Nothobranchius furzeri: one gene and its partner. Each later gene encodes a partner of the first gene's protein in a complex. Links are inferred from orthologs where the notes say so. Each region holds a gene or a part of one and is shown in the gene's direction. Other genes may lie near its edges.

Region 1 (3,954 bases):
GGTTCTGAATCTGCTTGTTCTGTGTTGTTCAGGATCAAGACTACCTGGGGACCCCAGTTAAAGTCCAGAGGACAGAGAGCCCAGGGGGGCCTGACATGGTGTAGCTCATGGTTGGGGTTCCTGCTGAACTCCACCTGCATCTAGGAAGTGTGTTCTGGAGTCGTTTGGGTTCAAATATTTGTTTTTAGTCCGTAAAAAGGACACTTTTAACTTGGACATCTGCTCAGGGAGATCACTCCACCACCAGGTTTATAATTCCAGCTTTGACCCGTCAGGAGACTGCTGGGATGAGCCCCTGTTGTCCTCGTCTGTTTGTGTCCCGGTGGGGAGACGTCGCATCGACCTGAGTCCAGGAGTTATTTAAGGAGGAGCGACGGCGGACGGCTTGTAGAATATTTTGTAGAGCTCTGATTTGACTGTTGAGCCGGACAGTTTTACGTTTGCTGTTATGAACTACGTGTAATTTTAATATGTCCTTATTACAACTGTTTGTTTGTTTGCTTTTGATGAAGACATGAAAATAAAAAGAACAACCTCGTTACTGGTTCTGACTGGTGCCTGAAATCCTTGAGAAGGTCCGAGTTTTTATGGAATAAAGTACTTGGGAGGCATTCAGGTGGAAGTGAGTACGGGACGAGTTTGTTCTTGTGTACGTGTCGGCACTAGGAAACATGCTGGAACCAGTGTGTTTGGTGAAGGAGCTCACGATGGACCAGGTGGAGAACATCAATGAAACTTCATTTGCTCTCTGAAGACCACGGAATCGATCAAGGAGTGGAGGGGAACGTGTGAAAACTGGATCAGAAATTGTGACCCGGCATTCCCCTCCTGGGAATAGTTGAACGGAGAGCTAGAGAAGGTTCTGCTCCTACGGAGACCTCCACAGCCGAGCCGTGCCTGATGGCGGGAGTCGAGTGAGAATGAGAAGTCAGCAAGTGATGACTAGAAGCTGATGGACGGGACCGGTGGCAGTTGGACCTGTTTTTACTCTAATCGGGTGCGATGCGGGCCGGACCACAGTGTGGACCTTCACCATCTACTGCCAGGAGGAAGACCACCCGAGGACCGACAGGTAAAGAGGAGAGAACGTCCGCGTGGATGGAGCCATACTCCCCACCAGCAGGTGGCGCTGAAGACGGGTTGCTTTTCCACCCGGAAGTGAAGCCTGGCAGCGGGAGGAGGTTCCGGTCCGGTTCTGGTTTGTGTCCGCTGAGCGACTGTGTGAAGGAAAGTTGTCGTGGTGCCACCGCCGAACCCGCTTTGGACTCGGACCGTTGAAGCGAGGACCATGCTTGGAGTGTGCCTGCGAGGAGCCCACGCCACGGTCCGGGTAAGAGCCGAACCCGTCCTGTTAGCAGCTAGCATGGTGGGGTCATCCGGTGACCCAGCTCAAGGTTCCACGGTTCTCAGGGTTGAACAGAACCAGTTTTGTGCCAGGACATCCGGTCCAGTTTGGCGTCTCTGGTTAGCCCGCGGTTAGGCTTTGTTTACATTCCCTCCGGTACCGGTAAGGATTAGGGTCCGAACCCTAACGAGCACCTCTCAGGTGACCTGTGTGTTCAGAGATTTGATGTTTACAGGTGAGTTTAGTTGGAGGTGACGTCACAACCGTAGATGCTGCCTTCACTGTACCTGGGACATTGTGTGTTTCAGAAGAACTGTGTGAGAAGTCCTCTGACTCCGCTGCAGTCCTACAGGTGCTACTCCACCAGCAGGAGCAGGTAACTGACCCCTCAGGTGAGGTAAGGACACACCTCACAGGTAAAAACCTAACCGTCTGCCCCTCCCCATCACAGCGGCGCCTCCAGAGTGGTTGCTCTCGGCTTGGTGACGGTAGGCGGAGGCGTGGGAGGGACACTGCTCTACTCCAAATGGGACCCCAAGTTCAGAGCAGCTGTGGAGAAGAATGTCCCGTACTCTGATTGGCTGCTGGGCCTGGCTCTGGGACCAGCTCCTGAGGATGCCCGTCTCCCTGTGAGGAAACAGGTGAGGAGCGGAGGTGAACACCTGTTCACACGCAAAGTCCAGTTCCTGTCACCTGTTAAGGTTTTCCTGTGAAGTCCACCTGAGCTAAAGAAGGGGGCGGGGCTTGTTGTTTAGAGCGACGGCTCTCATCATTTGTGCTGATTTTGTCTTCGCTGTCTGGCGTGCCGCCACCAGAAGGCGCGGTTTAGGTGTTCCCTGAGCTGCTGCCACAAACTAGGGATTGTGATGAAAATGGAAGATCATCTCATGGTCACATGACGTGGCAGCTGTACCGTGACAAAATTCACTTTCGTCTCCCAGCAGAGGAAGTTTGGATTTAAGTAAACCATTTGAGCGTGTCGATGGACTTGGGGCTCAGGGATGATCTTGTAGGAGCTGGATTAGACTACGCTGCTAAGTTGTTTCGACGTGTTGTGGCTCAGTAGTTAGGAACAATAACATTATTTTTTTTATTATCTCTAATGGTTTCTGTTCAGGTGGAGTTGAACCAGCCACCCTCCATGTTGGATAAACCAAAAACGGATCCCAAAGCCAAGTCCCAGAAGAGTGTGAAGGAGGCAGCAGAGGCAAGTGGCCCAGAGTCCAGTCTGGTCCCACCACCGCCAGCTCAGAGCATACAGGGTAGGAGGTTCTCACCGTTTCTCAGCCGCTCCTGCAGAAGCTACCACAGATTAGCCGCTGAAGGAGAGCCAGCTGTGGAGCGCAATGAGCTTCATTTGGTGTTGCGTTTGGGCCAAGCGGAGTGAATAAACGCATACGAGATTTGATTATGGCGACGTTAAAACACGACAACAGGCTGGTTGGACTTCATGAATTACCTTGTAGATTTAAAACTACGCTGCCTAAAAGATGCTGCTTGTTCACAAGTGGTCAGAATAGCTGGTGTTGGGATCATTCTGGAAGTGACGAGTGTCAGGTAGTCTGAGGAGCCTGATGCTTGTTGGAATAATAATCCTCATTGTTAGTGATTCTGATCCACAGGTAGGATATGAGCTAGATGATTTAGATGATGAAAGAGTTTAGAGAGCGGTGCAGACCCTAAAGGACTCGTTGGTGACGGGAACAGACAGCAGGGTTGGTTCCAGGGTCAGACGGTGGATGAGCCGGAGACGAGGACAGAAATGGTAGAGAAGAGTAGTGCAGAACATGTGTGAGACAGCGGGGGGGGGGCACATGGGCGGTCAGTGACCTGTGATGTCAGGAGGTTATCTCTGAGCATGTGGGCGGGGCAAAAGAGCGCGGTGTAGGGTTGCAACAAACGATTATTTGGGTCATCGATTCGATTAATCAGATTAAACGGGAACATTTAACAATGGAACTTGATTAGATAACAGCTCAGTGGCGTTCAAAACAACACGCTGTCACCTAAATGTATCCTTAGTTAAAATTTAATTAGCATTTTCAGTAGCTAGCTACTGGAAACGCTAATAACATTTACTTTCTACTGCTAACATGTAATGGTGACACATGTACGGGTTGGCACTAATCCAGTTTAAATTGCGTTCACGGATAGATGCGTTTGTGAATTACATGCTACGGTGGCTTGCCATAACCCCGCAGCGGAGCAGACTCAAAGCAGCAACCAGAGGTTCTGCTCCCTGGTGCTGCAGAAAGCTAACAATAAACAGGATGGCGGGGACTTTTCTTCCGCTGGTAGAGTTTAGATGTTCTTAGTTTCACGACCATCGTGTTTATTTGGAACTTCCATTTTATTTATGAAGCAGATTCCCACACGGCCGAGGCCAACCACAGTGCTGCACAGTAAAAGAGCATAAAAATCCACACACGGGAAGAAAGTAATAAAAGTAGTACAGTGACTACTATAAAATCAATAAAAATAAAACAGAGACATGGTACAATGCTAACTCGGCTGAAGTAAAAGCCACGGAATAAAAATGAGTCTTCAGGCGTGATTTTAAATCGGAGAGAGAGGGGGCCATTCTCACTGCTAGAGGGAGTTGATTCCAG
Region 2 (3,319 bases), on another chromosome or scaffold:
AGGTTAGAAGCTCGGTTATCCGGGAGGGGCTTGGAGTAGACCCACTGCTCCTCCACATCGAGAGGAGCCAGTTGAGGTGGCTTGGCATCTGGTCAGAATGCCTCCTGGATGCCTCCCTGGTGAGATTTTCCAGTCACGTCCAACTGGGAGGAGATCTAAAGGGAATACCCAGGACACATTGGAAGGACTATGTCTCTTGGCTGGCCAAGGAACACCTTGGGATTCCCCTGGAGCAGCTGGCCCAAGTAGCTGGGAAGAGGGAAGTCTGGGCCTCTCGGCTTAGGCTGGTTCCCCCGCGATCCGACCACGGATAAGCGGTTGAAAATTGATGTATGGATGTATTTGAATCCCATCCACCAGTCTTCCTGGGGCTTAATGTACCCTGTGCACTGTGGGAGGGTTCAAGACTAGATTTTGTAGTCTAAATAATATATTCATTTGGATATACAATAGGTTAGGTAATAGGAGAAATACATTTAGATGTTTAATGTATCCCTCCAGATGGTCAGACAAGAACATATTTGCTTGTCCAAACAGAATTAAACCGTAATTGTCCAAAAAAGTTCCAAACAAGATATTTTAATCCTTATATTGTGTTAAATATTCCTAGTTTCTGTAACCTCACTTTAGGTTAACATTAGGAGAAACTAATTACCTATGTAGAAAATGTTTACAGTTCTTGTGAACACATAACATGCATTAAAAAAGACATTACTGCACTCTGAAGTTGGTTAAAAAATGCCCCCCCCCCCCCCCCCCCAAAAAAAAACCCACACCAAACATTACTGGTTTTAAAATCCACACCAAATGACGTTTTTACAATTATTCTTAAATTTACCTGGATCAAAACTTGGCGCAGTCCATTTGACAGCAAAATAAGCTACAGAAATGCTCCCTATCAGGATTTTTGCAAATGGTCCCATGTGTGTAAACTCGCTATAAGTCTCAGAAAACTTCCTAGCTGTGTTATAAAAGTCTGCCTTCACTTTCATGATGTGAAGGAGGTGCCATTTATGTAACATCCCCCCTCTCTCTCTCACTCACTCACTCACTCTCTCTATTTTGCGCTTCTCCCGAGATCAAATTATAACATATTTAAATATGTAACATTTCTTATAGTAACTTAAAAAGAACATTTATATTTAACCTGCACACCATTTTTATTTTCATTTTGCTTACATACAATTTTACAAAAGGAATAAAGTGGGATAGAAAAGAACGAATCTGCCGCTGAGAAAAAAGCGTTGGGGTTTCAAAAAACAACTTTATTGACAAAAACAGAGCTAACGCTGCAATGTCCTTCAGTGCAGCCCTATGTCGATGGTGCAGCCTAGCGGTGAAGTTAGATTCGCTGTTTGGAGTCTTGGTAAAAACAGCTTATAAAGAGAAGTTACACAGCTGTGGACCATGGCGGCAAGGATTTTGCCTTTACTCAAGTTCGTATATTTTAATTCACTGTTAAGTTTCGTTTAAGTTTTAGTGGTAAGTGACCTGAATGCTTGATTAGCTTGTGAGCTAGCATGCTACGGCATTTATCCGTTTACTGTATTGAGATTTCAAGCTGTTATTTTCCGATACTTTACTAACTAAATTGTCGCCGAGGATCCAATCAAATATTGCTTCATATGCGATTTTTCATGAATGTTTTGTTGAGTTGCTGATATTGCTTGATCAACGCAGAATTTAAGATCTCCCTGCTTTATTACTTAATAAGCAATGTTTTAATTTTAAGGTGGTGCTTTTGAGTGTGGTAAATGTTACGTGGCTGGGTGGTTTTGGCTTACGGTGTGGCTGATCTTTCATTTGCAGACTGGCCACCAAGGTGACCATTGCAGGAGGCGCTGTTTACGTCGCCTGTGACTCGGGTCTGCTGGGAACCAGCGAACAGGGCTCAGAGGCTCTGGAGAAGGCCAGAGCTGCTATACCACCCGCCATCGAGGAATGGATGAAGTATTTTGGTCTGGAGGTAGAGATGAAATTACACTTTTAGGCGATCACACACATTTTGACATGTTTAAACTGTAGAAACTGAATTCCAGCTACAGCCTCTGCACAAGACTTTGTGGGCGATGCATCATATGTGAAATTAAGCCTTATGTTTAATTGTGTACATCATTTTTTTCTTCTTTCCTCTGTTCCTAGGCTCAGGTTCCAGCCATACCTAAAATTGAAATTTCCCCTGTTGAAGCATGGAATTCTGGTAAGAACCTAGTAAGAATAAGAATACCTTTATTAGTCCCTCAGAGGGTTAATTGCAATATTGCAATGGCTCAGGTACAGCAGGACTTTTTCTTTAATAAAGTGAATTTACCAACAAAAACCTTAGAATATTATCCAGTTTCAGTGATCATTTCATTTGGAATCAAGTATTCTTTAACAACAGTTATTTCTTCTATCACAGGGGTGCGGTGGACAATTTCAAGCCTCTCAGAGGCTCCAACTAAAGCATCTGAATACGCAAGTCAGGGAGTGCAGTACGCAAAAGACCTCATCAAATGAACAAGAACTTTCTGAGTAACCTCATTTATCTATTCACTTGACTTTTGCACTTGTAAATCCTTAAGTCGTCCCCTTTCCTGAACAAAACAGCTTATTTAAATTCAGCTGCAAAAGAGATCTCGGCTGTTTTGTTGAGAGTTGTTGGAAGGATACTGTACATAAAGCAGAACTTTGGTTTATTTCAGTTGTCCAGTAGAGTTGGATACCACCCAGATGTCAAACTGTCCAAAATAATGTAAAAAAAAGTTAATTTCTGCTGTGTGTGTGTATGTATGTATGCGTGCAATCTCACTATTTGCAATAAAATCATTCTGAAAACATTCTCAGGCTTGTTTGGTTTATTTAGTTAAACTTAATTTACAGTGTGCTGATTATAGCTGTGTTCAAAGTGAAGAACCAAACTAATGTGCAAAAATGTTTATTACAACAGAATATTATGACATGGGCAGTCAGTCTGCTACAATTTTGGAACAAGGAGCGAAAATGGAAGCATGAAGTATTTTTGACAAAAGCACAACTAGCAATGACGCTCAGTGTTAACCTTTGTTTTGAATGCATGTACAGAATTGTTTCTAGCACATCAAACATTTTCAAAACCTTCAGGCACTGTTAAGGTGATAAAATAACATAAACAAAATGTTTTCTCAAAGATGCAATAAATTAAAAGATTGTGAGGTCAACACACATTTAGCATCAACTGGAAAAAGAGCTTTTTGTAAGACAACTTACTACAAATTTGTTAGCTCATCAGATTGTGAAAATACATTTAGTTCTTAATTATAGGTGTCTTAATGATTTGTTCACAAGAGACTCAGATTTT

What was found.
Region 2: immt (region 1) and micos13 share a complex: the UniProt entries of both Homo sapiens proteins name them as parts of the mitochondrial contact site and cristae organizing system (MICOS) complex. The link is inferred for Nothobranchius furzeri from reciprocal best matches to the Homo sapiens genes IMMT and MICOS13.

What each region holds. Positions count from the first base shown.
Region 1 is NC_091741.1:108,909,462-108,913,415, forward strand, and holds the start of immt (MICOS complex subunit MIC60), read left to right. Parts: upstream 1-1,154; 5' UTR 1,155-1,288; coding exon 1,289-1,330; intron 1,331-1,653; coding exon 1,654-1,721; intron 1,722-1,796; coding exon 1,797-1,986; intron 1,987-2,462; coding exon 2,463-2,607; intron 2,608-3,954. Other genes in the region: slbp (histone RNA hairpin-binding protein), read left to right, coding at 33-104. UniProt on the Homo sapiens protein: Component of the MICOS complex, a large protein complex of the mitochondrial inner membrane that plays crucial roles in the maintenance of crista junctions, inner membrane architecture, and formation of contact sites to the outer membrane.
Region 2 is NC_091748.1:50,418,328-50,421,646, reverse strand, and holds micos13 (MICOS complex subunit MIC13), read left to right. Parts: upstream 1-1,276; 5' UTR 1,277-1,407; coding exon 1,408-1,436; intron 1,437-1,809; coding exon 1,810-1,966; intron 1,967-2,142; coding exon 2,143-2,200; intron 2,201-2,401; coding exon 2,402-2,499; 3' UTR 2,500-2,819; downstream 2,820-3,319. Other genes in the region: hsd11b1la (hydroxysteroid 11-beta-dehydrogenase 1-like protein), read right to left, coding at 839-992. UniProt on the Homo sapiens protein: Component of the MICOS complex, a large protein complex of the mitochondrial inner membrane that plays crucial roles in the maintenance of crista junctions, inner membrane architecture, and formation of contact sites to the outer membrane.